Linked DNA regions of Danio rerio. The protein of the gene in region 2 purifies or fractionates together with the protein of the main gene of each other region. This does not show direct contact. Links are inferred from orthologs where the notes say so. Each region holds a gene or a part of one and is shown on either strand. Other genes may lie near its edges.

The links.
Region 1: the proteins of smndc1 (region 2) and sf3a1 purify together in Homo sapiens (affinity purification with mass spectrometry; 3 studies listed by BioGRID and IntAct, with this or other methods). This does not show direct contact. The link is inferred for Danio rerio from reciprocal best matches to the Homo sapiens genes SMNDC1 and SF3A1.
Region 3: the proteins of smndc1 (region 2) and sf3b2 purify together in Homo sapiens (affinity purification with mass spectrometry; 3 studies listed by BioGRID and IntAct, with this or other methods). This does not show direct contact. The link is inferred for Danio rerio from reciprocal best matches to the Homo sapiens genes SMNDC1 and SF3B2.

Annotation. Positions count from the first base shown.
Region 1 is NC_133183.1:43,422,327-43,427,191, reverse strand, and holds the start of sf3a1 (splicing factor 3A subunit 1), read right to left. Parts: upstream 3,349-4,865; 5' UTR 3,331-3,348; exon of another isoform or gene 3,327-3,330; intron 3,207-3,326; 5' UTR 3,164-3,206; coding exon 3,116-3,163; intron 1,734-3,115; coding exon 1,624-1,733; intron 1,532-1,623; coding exon 1,339-1,531; intron 1,178-1,338; coding exon 920-1,177; intron 218-919; coding exon 143-217; intron 1-142. UniProt on the Homo sapiens protein: Component of the 17S U2 SnRNP complex of the spliceosome, a large ribonucleoprotein complex that removes introns from transcribed pre-mRNAs.
Region 2 is NC_133192.1:21,547,476-21,552,412, reverse strand, and holds the start of smndc1 (survival of motor neuron-related-splicing factor 30), read right to left. Parts: upstream 2,968-4,937; 5' UTR 2,793-2,967; intron 2,309-2,792; coding exon 2,189-2,308; exon of another isoform or gene 1,821-2,188; intron 1-1,820. UniProt on the Homo sapiens protein: Involved in spliceosome assembly.
Region 3 is NC_133182.1:6,505,188-6,510,130, forward strand, and holds the start of sf3b2 (splicing factor 3B subunit 2), read left to right. Parts: upstream 1-1,595; 5' UTR 1,596-1,662; coding exon 1,663-1,762; intron 1,763-2,195; coding exon 2,196-2,239; intron 2,240-2,322; coding exon 2,323-2,379; intron 2,380-4,852; coding exon 4,853-4,943. UniProt on the Homo sapiens protein: Component of the 17S U2 SnRNP complex of the spliceosome, a large ribonucleoprotein complex that removes introns from transcribed pre-mRNAs.

The DNA.
Region 1 (4,865 bases), on a different chromosome or scaffold from region 2:
CTCAAAGAGTATGTTTAGGGCACAAAAAAACTCTAAATATGATTTTGTCTACCAATATCTTATGTTTTTTTTTTTTTTTTTCATTCACACCCCGTGTGACCTGAAATTTTAAATTTTGGTGTTCATTTCTATATTTGATTACCTGGTCCAAGACCTCTCGAGGATTCTCTGCTTCTTTCTTCAGTTTCAGCAGAAGACCTTTTGGAGGAATCAAAACCTGCAAAAAGCCAATCAAACAAGTTATTTAATGTCACACTTGAATAACCTGTATTTGTAACCTGTATTTTGCATTTGGGGGTTTCACATTTGCAATTGATTTTCAGGGAAAAAGTATTTGTTTGTGTGATATTACCGAACTACAATATATCTTAGGACTGGTCAATTAATCTAAAGTAAATCCCAAACATCATTTAGCAAAGCTACATTTGTCATGCACATATTGTCAGAAAAGCACAGCATGATCAGCAATAAATCTCCTCTAAATGCCAGAGGCTGCTCTTACAGAAACTAAAAGAAATCCAAAGAGTATTGTGTTAAAAAGGAAACTTTAACTGCTTTCGCTAATTCAGACTAATTAATAAAGACACAACTACAGATTCATCAAGTGTTGCAAGTTTTGTGTAGCTTTATAGTGAATTATGTGTGGCAAATGCTGCTCCAGCTGAATGTAGCTTACTTTACTTTTATTGCTTTATTGACAAAATGTGCATGGAAATCACCAATTTTTTCCCCAGCCCTAATGTATCTTCTAAATGCTTTCACAAATGGAATAATTGTTTTAATAATTTTTTTGCTAATTTATTGAGCTTGCATTTTTTTAAACATTAATCAAAAATATTATTAGAGGAAAAAATACTGAACATCTCTAATCTCTTTGCAAACCAATAAGCCCTCAGCATTTCTAAAAAGTATAATTTACCTTTGTATACTGCTCCACTAGTTTTGTGAAGTAGTTGAACAGACTGTGCTGTGGCCGGAGAAAGTCAAACTGGTAGTTCCTCTGTTCCTTCTGCATCAGCTGTGTGAGAAACTGACGGCCATTACGGGCAACAAACTGTGCGGTCAGTTTCACCACATCCAGGTCAAAGGCTGAGATGGAGGGAGGGTCAGCAATGAACTCAAACTCAGGTGGAGGCTCTTTTGGCACCACCGTCTCATGGATCACCTGTGCTTGGACCTAAATAATCACAAAACATAAGCTCTTTATAACATAGAAAGCTATTAAAATTTTTTATATCTGTCTGCTGGATTATGGCTTGATTTTAACTATTATAAAACTATCTGTCTACATCTATAATATTGATAATATTTATATAAAGCCACAGAGAAGTTGCTGACCTTCTGAGGAAGCTGCTGAGGATGCTGCATGACTTTAGGAACGGCTGCGGATGGTTCCTGAGCTTTGCCCTCCTTGAACTCATTGACCTTGTGTCGGTAGTAGGCATGGTATGGGTCGCTCGGGTTGAGGAAGTTGAACTTTGGGTTGTTGATCTCATTCTGTCGAATTCTGGCCTCAAACTCGGGTCCATTCCTTTGACAAAATAAATGGAATTAATTATTGATTTAATAAAAGTACACAAATGAAATACTGCACTACATGATATATGTGGTAGGATGTCAAACCTGGCTACGAAGCTGGCAGTCTTGTCAACGATGTTTCGCACTTCAGGAGGAGGGTAGATGATTCCCACTATGGGCTTTGTGGCTGGAGTTTCTTCTTTCGGTTCTTCGGGCTGTTGATTAAAACATCTCATAGCTTATTTAATATGAGCAAAATAATACAGAAAACACAAACAAAAATCACAGAATACAGTCATAAATATGGAATTAATTATACAATGTCATTAAATGTTACAAGCTTTGAATTAATACATTAAAACTAATCATGTCCTTAAAATGAAGTTGTGATGTGTACTATTGTGTGAGAATTTTAAGACCACTAAAATATAAGTTAAATACAAAGTCTATATTTATGAGGCGTGTTTCTGAATGAATGCCACAGTTTCATTTACTACACAAATATTGAAGCATGGGTGATGCTTGTGGTGTCAATCTCAGAAACTTTACCATGTTATGTGAGAATACCATATCAGATAAACAGAAAAAAATCAAGCGAATTGGATTTACTGCAGCCAAAAGTGTTTCTATTGTACAACAGAATACACTTCTCACTGTAAATGGTCCTTAAAATTATTACTTTTTATTATAATTGCACAACTGTCCTTTCTCATTTCACAACATCAATAAAACAGAATCTGATAATAAACTGAAATTTATATTACAAACTAATTAGTTTTTACAATAAATATCAATAAATTTACATTCAATTCAAACACCCCTAATTTTTAAATATTATTTGTATATAGAATTTGCATATTCATTTTTAATTTAAGAATCAAAACAATATATGTATATTTATAAACTAACAAGTAATTTGTGTATTTATATTTTTTTCATTATAAAGAAAAATAAGAATAATTATTCAATTAACATCTGAAGAATATTTTGATGACATTAGAAAAACATTTAAAGATCACATTGCAGCCCCCAAAATAAGCAAATGAAATATTTCAAATTTAACTATCTATTATCCAAATTTTTACTTAAAGAAAAAACAATAAAATGCAGAAGGATCATTTACTTATTTTAATAAGTACATGTAAGTTTACTTTTGTTGTTGTTGTCATTTTTTACAAAAGTATATATATTTTTAGATCTTAATTTTTATTAACCTTTTTTTCTAAACAATAAAGTAGACACTACTACGTTATCTTTTAAAATGGTTGTCTTTGACCACATCGATTTTGGGAAATAAAACAGTACATTTACATAATATATATTTTTATATTATATTATATTTATACTAATAATAAAACAACATTATGCTGGGAATATATACAACAATGACTGCTACAAAAGATAACAAAACAGATAACATATACATTAAAGTTTAACTTTAAACAAGTAATGCTTCTACTCAAAACAATAAATTATAAAATTGCAATAATGCCCAGTATTATACTTATGAAAGACGAAAAATGTAAGCAGATGAATATAAATCGGATAAACCTACCCATCGTGTCTATGAAAGTAATAAATTCTGAAAGCTTCATACCTTGTTATTCAGCTCCGGCTGCATGATCTGCACAGGCCCAGGCGGCATGACTGCGACACTACTGGCTCTTCTCGGACCGATTCAAACGTTACTGTGTAAAATGAAAGATTATTTGAAGCTAAAGACTCAACCGTTATAAAATAATGAACACTGAAAGTCGCAAGAATGGCTAAAGTTATACAAATTATGAAGGCAGTTTTACATAACTCACTTACCTCTCGTTAGCCAGCAGCCACACACACAACACAAAACGGACAACCAATGAAATTCTTCTTCTTCTTATGGGGTTAATGGCGGTTGGCAGACCAACTTAAATGGTGCATTTCCGCCACCTACTGGATAGGAGTGTGGAGCGCATAATGTTGGAAAAAGCATGAGTACTAAAGATATATGATACGAATGGAGGGATGAGATTACCATAGGGAAGAGAGAACAGTAATAACAGTAGGAGGAGAGGAGAGAAAGAAAGAAAAAAAATACTAGTTAAAAATCATAGTAAATTTTATTTCCTTATTTTGCTAAGCTATTCTTAAATTCTATTAATCAATTTTGTTTCCTTTAAGTAATTAATTAATTGCATTATTATTTCAACTTGATTTGAACTGTTTCCTAATAGGGTCTGAAATGACAAATTTTTAATCCCATAAATACTTAATCCTTGAACTAACTGATATCTCTGATTGTCATATGCCACACATTCTGTAATTACATGTTCTAATGTTTCTATTTTCCCGCATTTATCACAACATCCTGTCTCGTGCTTCCCTATTCTGAACTTATACTGGTTTAGCAAACAATGACCAGCACGCAACCTAGTTATTACCACATCATTCCTTCTATTACTAAACTTATTTCTAGTACCACCCACACATCCTTGAATATTATGCATATGTCTGCCTTTTTCTCCATTATCCCACTCCCTTTGCCACATTCTACCTGTTTCTTTTGCAATTATGTTTTTTACCTCTGACTTACTTATTTTTATTTTTATTTCTATCTGAGTATGTTGTAATGCTTCCTTTGCAAGTTGGTCTGCCTCTTCATTACCTACTACTCCCATATGACCAGGAATCCACAAGAAGCTTACAAAAAGTCCACCCTGTCTGATTCTGAATAAATTTTGCATTATCTCATTCATTATGTCCTGTCTTGCCTTAGATGTTCCAGTAATTAAGTTGTTTAGTACTGACAGAGAATCGGAGCATATTACTGATCTTAATGGTTTCACGTCTTCTATCCACTGAAGAGCAAGAAGTATAGCTACAATTTCTGTAGTGTACACAGAAAGTCGGTCCGTTATTCTTTTTGATATTTTAATATTGAATTTTGGGATGTAAACTACTACTGCCGTTTTTTCATCTTTAGGATCTTTTGACCCATCTGTATATATCTGTAAATAATTGAAATATGACTGATTTATGTATTGTTGTATTTCTTTTTCATTTAACATATTATTTTTGTGTTTTTCCTCATGTAGTAATAAATCGACTACTGGTTTATGGAAAAGCCAAGGCGGAATCGCAGAGGTTGGCACAGCAGGGGCTAAATTGATGTCTCTTATGCCCATATTTTGAGCCTCGTCTTTTACTGTCCAACCAAAACTATCTATCTTTTTATGTCCATATTCCCAACATTCCTTTAGTACTGTTTTTACTGGGTGCCTCTCTTCTTGGCTTTTAATGCTAACCCAATATCTCATTTTTAACTTAATTCTTCTAATTTTTAGAGGCATTTCCCCCATCTCTACTTG
Region 2 (4,937 bases):
CCTGTGTGTGCGCGCATCTTTTATAACTGAGGCCGCTCTCTTCAAAAACCGAAAGTTGCTTCTTCTGTCTGGCAATATTTCGGCTTTTAATATATGAAAAGTTTATTTAGATGAGCCAATATTAAAAACTGCAATAAAGTAACTGAGACGTGCGGCCACACATCGAATCTGAGGACTGATTTCTCTCTCTCTCTCTCTCTCTCTCTCTCTCTCTCTCTCTCTCTCTCTCTCTCTCTCTTTCAGACATCGAGCCACAACACAAGTCAAGTTGCAAAACTTAGGCAGGTGCAGCTGACAGGTAGAATAGCTGAAGCCTTTACGAAATCTATCAAAATGCACCTCTGAAATTAATAGCCATAAATGTCTTTGAGCCAAAAAAAAGTCTATTGGTAGGATATCTGTAAAAACGCAATTGGAGCCAAATATATGAGTTGTGTAGCCTATAAATTATAGGCCTATTAATTCTAATAAAATGAAAACTAAAATTAACAATTCATTGCATTTTTCGTTTGATAAAAATATACGTAAACGAAAAAAAATCAAAGGGTGGCTAATTTGTATTAATGTGTTTTAATTTTAATGAAAATATGCTCAGCATATTTAATTAACGGCTATACGCCGTCAATAGGCAAGCCATTCAAAACATATAATTTTACCGTGTAATGGGTTATAATGTATATTTTACAATAAAAACTAAACGTAGCATGTCTCGCTGTCATTTAAAACGTTTAATTCATACCACACCAGAGCTGTGGACCTGTAGTGTTTAAACTTACAGGGCGGTTGGTCAATAGTCTTAATGCGCACTGAACTCCAATCCGAGGGACTCGATAGTTACTCGATAGACAACATTAACTTGAGAGAATTAAAAAATAAAAGGGTTTTTTTTTTAAAGGAACAACGCGCAAATCTGCAACAAAAAAAATAAATAAAAATAAAACGTCTTGGCAGTGCTGTGTGTATTCCGCCACTGACAGTGTGAGACGCCCTTATGCTGCGCCTGTAACTGCCGCTTGTAAGAGAGATCAAAGCTGTATCGATAAAACCAAAAAGCAAGATCATTTAGTTATAAATATTCCATAACAATACTTATCGAAATATTTATACATTTACATGTTGTTTATTGAGATTGTGTGATCTGTATAGGTTGTCTGATCTTTCCAAAAGCTGTAAACTGACACATGTGCGGTGATGTTTAGCTCTGACGAGGCGCTTTTATTTAGCCTGCCCTTTGATTTTTTACATAATGTTCCAATTCTTAATTTTTTTTCATATAGTTTAAATATAAAATGAGTGCTCGCTTGTTTAGTTGTGATCATTACGCAAGGATCATATTTCATATTCGGTTTATTCTTCAATAGCCTATAGATTCGTTAATAATGTATTTTATAAACGGATTGTTCATAAGGACTAAGCTGTTAATATATAACATAGGCGTTTATGGTTGTTATTTGTGTGGTTCCAACTTACACAGTTTTTTTCAGCCTGTAGCAGTGTTGTGTTTTATTCGTTATGTAAATAAAAGTTATGTTTTGTTTAATAACAGGAATTTTTTTTGTAGTTTCCTTTCTGTCCATTCAATTGACACCGAATTGGCAACTCCCACAAAACTGAAAGTGAAAGTATTATACGCACGCATTTATAAGCTATTTAAAAGCAGAAAAAAAGAGGAAATGAAAAAATGCCCACTCCCACGGTGATACCGGTATTACCGGTGTTGTCACATGTCGATTAACCGGTGGGGAAATTTCCTCACCGTCACAACCCTACCCGCAGCCACAGTACGCCGGAAATCCGGCGTGGTGCCGGAACGCTATCACCCCTGGCTGCAGTTTATTTTGTATTTTTAAAGGTATATTTTATTTATTTTAAAAGTAACTTCACAGTAAAGTAATTAGTAATCAGATTACATTTTACATTAAGTTTTAAGTAATGTTATTACGTTACAATTTTCGAGTAGTAATGAGTAATTTGTAATCTATTCCTTTTTTAAAGTAACTTACCCAACACTGATAGCTAATATGATTTCACCGATTAAAATTTGCAAAGCATACTTTTATAAAATTGTTTTATTAAGGAGAAACTCTAAATGTGCAAATATAAAACCAACAATACCATAATAATACAACTCACATTTCCCTTCGACTTTAGTAAAGGCTCACAAATAGGGAATAATTGTGCCCCAAACCTGGAGGTCCTTCTGTAGTTTAAGCAGATCTTCATTATCTGGATCTATAGAAAGCGCCGCTTCCACTTGCTGCAGCTGAGCTTTATAATTGCTCAGTTGCTTCATCAACTCCTCAGACATCTGAAAAATCAAACACTTATTAACGTTATATGACAAGTGAAACAGGCCTCAAAACATCCACCTTATCTCATCATACTTATAAATAATTGTTTCAAAACTCATAACCTGCTGTTCAACATCGTTATTATCCAAATCCTACCAAAATAGTTTTACAAGTACACTCCTGTTTGTTTATAGATATGTTAATAAGTCATGTACTACAATTGACTAACGTTACTTATTCGCTTGAGATGTCGTAAGGAACCCGTTATAATCTTTACACGTTAAAGGGGACATATTTGATTATTTATTTGTTAAATACTAATCTCGTATTACAATTGTTAACCCATTCATTGAATATCAGAAAGCGTTTGTTTTTTGTTTCAAGTTATATGCACATCAGCGATTAATGTATAAAGCGAGCGAAAGGCCTCGCGCTCGGCAGAAGCCATGTTTATATGATTATAAACAGGAATACAGGATCATTCTGTAGCATAAGGCTTACCTTTAAATATTCCGAGTATACTATTTATATATAAAAAACAGATGATTTTATGTATTTAACTGTCCATGTACTACTGTATTTTCGTGAAAAGAAATGCCGCTGTTGTTGTTACGTTTGGATCTCCTCTCGTTCTCGTCGCCTCGACCTTTCCCGGATGTGACGCCACACTCTCGCTTGAACAAAGTGATGTCGCGATGTTACCAAAGCAGTAATGGCTCTGCAGTAACACTGTTTTTTTTGTGCATTACCGTCGATCTTTTGCACCAAGTGGAGCAAAGGTATATACTAACAACAACGATAATAATAACAGTAGTATTAAACAGACAGCTGGTTAATTAAATTGGATTATTAGTTTTTCTCAGTGACTTTGGTGCATGTCTCGCACTACTCACATTCGCACAACAGTTAATGCATTTCTCAAAACAGTTTGTCGTTTGTGCACATCATAGTAGCAGTTTCTCATTCCTTCCAATAAATTGCAAATGCTTTTATACATGCATCAATTGCTTATTTGCTTGCATACAACTCTGCTGTTTTATAACATTTTCATTTGCTTTCATGACAGTCAAAATTACCTAAACTTGTGAATGCTGAATAGTCATTCCATATAAAACTAATAGTCCTCAAATCATTACTTGAGTCATTACATACAAAAATGTTGAACTAGTTGTCAAAATCTGTCAAGCTAATATTATAAAAGATTTTTAAAAATTTCCTGAAAATGTCTTCTAAATTGAACAATTTCATGAATGATTTACAAACCTGTGTATGTCACCAAAATCTGACTTTTTTTGCATTGGAAATAATGTACAGAGTAAACTGTCATAATGGAAACATGACAAAGCCATTTGACTATCTTGTTCATAAACAAAGGAGTCAGAACTTTTCATCTTGATGATACTGACACTTTGATTGGCATCATACTTTGCTTTTAAGGAATGAGCTATCCATTTTGAGCAAGTGACGTGCTTTTGCATGTTATCAGCTAGGTTTTGCAGTTTGTACTAATTGTTTTAAGAAATGCATTAACTGTTGTGCAAATGTAAATAGTGTTGTGAGAAATGCAACAAAACCACTGAGAAAAACTAATCTGTGGTCGCCACAACGAAATGAACCAACAAATTATCCAGCATTTGTTTTACGCAGTAGATGCCCTTGCAGCTGCAACCCATCACTGGGAAACATCCATACACACTCATTCACACACATACACTATGAACAATTTAGCGCACACAATTCATCTATACTGCATGTCTTTAATTTTTTATTGAACATAGTAATGTATAACAACTTGGCATCATCAGTACAGATTTACATTACAAATAAGGAACAAATAATATGTTACATAAAATAATTATAAGGAAAATAATACATAACTAAATGTAAAAATGGGGCTAGGAGTTTCCCTGTAATTCATACGTTTCTATCAAAGACAGAAGATTAAATGCACTTTTTGTTTCCTATATTTTAATGGGTTTTATATATGAAAGAATCCCATTATAAAAAGCACAAAACATTGGTTTCACCTTCAAATATTTAGCTTTTAATACTTTCAAATATATTCCAACCATATTGTTGTTGATTAGAAAGGCATCTTTCCTAATGTCTATTACAAGTCAATAAATGATGTCATTCACATTAAAGATCCTGAGGAGTAGAATCTTTGGGTAAAGCCAGTCATGATCACCCACAAACATAGGGACCCGTATTATGCGTTCTGCATTCGCGCCAGAGTTCATATTCGACCCACGTAGGATGAAATGATTGGTCTCGCGACTGGCCAATCAGAGCGCAGCATTAGTCTGTAAACAAAAGATTTCGTCAGTGTTTTCCAGGAGCGCGATATTGTCTCTAATGTTTTTCAGCACCTACAGCCTTTGGTCTATTGCCTTCTCTTTAGAAACAAACAAATAACATTTAGTAAACACTACATTCAGAAGAGTGAACAATATTTAAAGGAACAACAATGTCAGCGCAAAAAGTTATTCCTAAGGAAGAAAGTCTGCACGGTAAGTTATGCAACTTGGCTCGATTAGATAATGTGCCAGCATCAAAAGCTAACGAAATCAACAGGGCTGTTAAAAGCTGCAGTGACTTGTTTATTCGTATTCCTGGGTTTTACACAAATCATGTTTTCTGTTATAA
Region 3 (4,943 bases), on a different chromosome or scaffold from region 2:
TATAATTAATATAATGTGATATAATATAATATAATATAATATAATATAATATAATATAATATAATATAATATAATATAATATAATATAATATAATATAATATAATATAATCAATATAATATAATCAATATAATATTATTAATATAAAGTAATATAATATAATATAATATAATATAATATAATATAATATAATATAATATAACTATTTTAACATACCATTATATTATATTATATTATATTATATTAAATTATATTATATTATATTATATTATATTATATTATATTATATTATATTATATTATATTATATTATATTATATTATATTATATCATGTTCCGGCGCCATAAAAAGTATATTAAAACCTTTTCTCAACAATTTTCACAGGATTTGAGGTGTTGGCGTTAGAAAGACCACCATCTTGTGGCTAAACATGGCAGACGCAGCATAAAATAAACCAGAGATGCCCAAACTATCGACAGTGGGCCAAAGTTGGCGCATGCATGGTAAGAAAGAAGCGAGAATGATGAGGTAGTTAGAGCAGAGATGCCCAATAGGGCCCGTGGGCCAAAGTTGGTCCATGATAACTTTTGAAATGGCCCGCCATCCCATCTGAGAAGAGAGGGGGAATGATAAGGGTGGTTTCGAGATAGTCAATTCAAATTTAATGTAAACATTTGTTTGTTTGTTTTATTGTTAAAAGCTACTGATTAAATGTTTCAATCAAATGGTGTAAATTTGAGACTTTGGTGAGCAAATCAAGTCAAAGACAGATTCTGCTTGACTAGTGTGTTCAGCACTGAACTCCACTGTGTTATCAGGCAGTGCACACATAGGGCTCAACCTTTTTAGTGCCCTTTTTTGCCCTTTTTAGTCTTGGATAAAAAGTGCCCTTCCAAAATGATCAAAAGTGCCCCCTCGACGCGACACACCCTCCGTCCCGCCCTTCAGTAGGCGCACGACAACACTGATCTTGAGTACGCGCGCTGACCTTTGGATGGTCTCTGCACGGGCCTGTGTGTGTACAAGAAGACATTTCCTTCATCCAGAGTGACAAAGATGGAGCATGAATAATTTTCCAGTAAATGGCTGGAATCAGGCGCTTCGCATGCAATAGACACAGGCTTATACACTTCTGTTCATATGACTTCAGCGATAAGGCAGGTGGGAGAACTTTCATTTTTGTGTGAACTATTCTTTTAAATAGAAAAAAAAATTCTGCATCATTACTAAATGTATAAAAAAGATTACATCTAGGCTACATTTAGTTTATACTTTGCTTTATAAAATCTATTTAGTTTTTATTTCCAATGAATCTAACAAAAAACGCTGAAAATAAGAGACGCGACTTCATAAATACACAAGGAATATGTATGATATGGATTTTTCATTCATTCATTTTTTTCAGCTTAGTTCCTTTATTCGTCAGGGGTTGCCACAGTGGAATGAACCACCAACTTATCCAGCATATGTTTTACACAGCGGATACCCAGTACTAGGAAACACCCACATATACACCCACAAAAATATATACAGCCAAAAAAATTATCGTCGCAGTTTTAAAGTTTAAAAACTCAACGAACAGGAACGACAAATCCCACGATGCTTTGCGTTGTGTTCCCGTGATCCCTTGCGCCTGAACGCGTTTGTGCCGTTCATCTTCAACATGGCTAACGAAGGGCCGCAGGATCCAAATATAGATTTTAATACATGGACCCATGGCGAGCTGCAGGCCAAATTGGCCGAATTTGGTGCTCCCAATATGGGTAAGTTAACAACTCTTTCATTACATCGCTGCGGGACAGTATCGCTGAGTTTTTCATTTGTTAGCTAGCGTTAGCCTGTTAGCCTGTTATTTTCCTGTCCGGTGCCCGGGCCTCAGTGCACCAAACGACGCGCTTACACATGTTGTTCATTGAAATGTGTGTTGGAAAGCTGGTTTTGCTCTTGATTTTGCTGCTAGTAATGCATTAAGTCGTGTATGTGATATAAGTAAAGTGTATGATAAGTCGTCCCCGGTTGAACCGAGTGAATGTTTTTGTCTGAACGGGAAATGCAATGGGATTTAAGTGCAGAACTTTTTATACACACATTTTTATACACACCAATACTTTAGCTGCATAATAAATCGTGTAAAATGTCTAATTCACTGTTTATTATCATCATCATTTAAGTTACCTGTGGTTTTCTGTTATCCAGGTCCAAGAGAGGAGCTCATAGACAGACTGAAATCTTATGCACAGGTAAATTAGTTAAGGGTTTTAATTACAGATACAACGTTATTTACATTTTTTTTGTCCTAACATAATCTTTATTACGTTTTCAGCCTGGCATGATCTTTAATAAACCAAACATACCAGGAGAAGACAAGAGCTTGACCACGGTACTGTGTCCTTTCTCTTATTCTCTTAGCAGTATAGTTCACCACAAACATGTAAATTCTGTCACTTTCTCACCCTTTACTTGATCAAACCCTGTTTGTTTTTGTTCAGTTGAACGCTGAAGAAGACGTTTTGAAGAATTGTGTAAACCTGTAACCATTGATTTCCATTGTTGTCCAACTATGGAAGTCAATAATTACATGAGTAACTCCATGCAAATGTGAACCTTGCCATGATAAAACTACGCTTCAACCAAAATAGCCAAACTGTTTCTACATTTTTGGTGTAATGACAAGTGACACAAGTGCCAATTTTACATTTGTCACATACATAGCGAAGCTTTTTCCTCAAAAATGCAAAAACATGTAAAACTAAATACAATCAATCATGTGTTCTTTAGAGAGCAACTCCTATCCTTTTTATTAGGATTGTTTCTTTTGGGTTGGGCAGTTTGATTCACAGAATTTCTGCAAAGTATGTTGTAGACCAGGTGTGGGCAAACTTGATCCTGGAGGGCCGGTGTCCTGCACAGTTTAGCTCCAACCCTATTCAAACAGACTTCCCTATAGAGTTCAAGTGATCTTGAAGACACTGAGGCCCCGTTTACACTAGTGCGTTTTAGTTTTAAAACGGCGTTGTAGAATGAAAACGATCCGCGTCCACACTCGCGTTTTACCCAGCGTTTCTGAACAGCTCTCCGTCCACACCAAAACCCTGAAAACGCACATCACGTGACCACACACACACACTCGGGCAAGCGCTCCAGCATTTCTACCCAGATGAGAGCTCTGCTTGTCGGACTGCTCATCAAGCATCTCCCGCTGGATCTAATCTCACTATATTTGCTAAATGTGATATTTCATTCATCTTGTTGTCTTTATCTAACGACATAGGCCAATTCCCTGACTTTGGTCATTGGAAACTGTTAAGTTACTTGTTCACGGGGAACATGTTTTGGTTAAGCGCAAAGATAAGTTAATGATTAATCCAGGTACATTGACTGATCGCTTGCCTTTATTTCCTACAATGTATAAACTTATTGTATGTTATACTTTTATAATTATCGATTATTAAAACTGATATTCAGCAAAAGAGAGGGTGCGTTTCGTATTTTCACTGAAATTGAAAGGAGGCAGTTGTTATCGGCTCTGTTTTGTTATAAATATCCACACAGTGAAGATGACGCTCATATATGCAGCACGGCGCCTCAACATTTCTGCTGTCTGTTAAGTTGCTAATATTAAAATGAAAATAGGCAGTTCCTTAAATCATGTTTACATTTTATTGTTGATAAAGTGAAACAACGTAGCCAGGGTGATGTGAATGAAGTTATAAAGTACACTGTTCCCTTTGAAGATTTACCCGTGTCCTCTGTATGTTTTCCATATCAAACTGAGAAGGGGGAGACTGCAGCCTTGATCAAACTTGCGAAGTCTTAACTTACAAGAAGAGGATGCGAGACTGAACTATGTGTGGGCTACTTAATATTGAGGAAAAGCCCCAATCAGATAGGTGAACGTTTGCAGCCCCGCCTCCGTTTTCAGATGTCTCCGTCTTTCCCCATCCACACTGAGACGGAGCAGCAGCGTTTCAGAATGAAAACGGCCTCTCCAGCGTTTTCAAAAAGCTCCGTTTTCGGCGCTCGAGAACTCCGGCGTAGTGTGGACGGATGGCGTAACCGTAGCAAAACTTATGCGTTTTCAAACTAAAACGCACTAGTGTAAACGGGGCCTGATTAGTTTGTTCAGGTGTGTTTGACTAGTGTTGGAGCAAAACTCTGCAGGGACACCGGCCCTCGAGGATCAAGTTAGCTCATCCCTGTTGTAGACTGTAAACTCGCAGACTTTTTTTGGTCACATCCATAACGCTTGTTTATTTCCCTCATTTAAAGTACAAAGCATGTTCACAGATTGATATATTTCTGCTCTCACAACTCTGTGGCTAGTTGTTTCGTAAAATATAAACAGATGTTTCAACATGATGTTAACATTTACTTTCTCTGTGAATTTATGTTTTGAGCTGTTACTGCAAATGTCACATCCATAACGCTGGAGTTGCTCATGTTTTCAACATTTTTCAAACTATCTTCTTTTGTGCTCAACTTATTTTGGAACAAGTCAAGGGTGAGTAAATGACAGGAATGTGAACTATCTCTAATGTCTTGGTAATCTAATAGTCACTTTGCTCCCGTTTGTTGTTAAGCTTTAGATCACCAATCTCGGTCCTGGAGGGCCGGTGTCCCTGCAGGGTTTACCTCCAACTTGCCTCAACACACCTGCCTGAATGTTTCAAGTATACCTAGCAAGACCTTGATTAGCTTGTTCAGGTGTGTTTGATTAGGGTTGGAGCTAAAATCTGCAGGACACCGGCCCTCCAGGAACAAGTTTGGTGACCCCTGCTTTAGAATATAAAAGCTATAAGATTTGTTGTGTGTGTGTGTGTGTGTGTGTGTGTTTGTTTGTGTGTGTGTCTCAGATGCCCGGTCTGCCACCCATGCCCCCTATGCCTTCGATGCCCCTGCCGCCTAGCATGAACATGATGCAGGCCATGAACATGATGGGAGGCC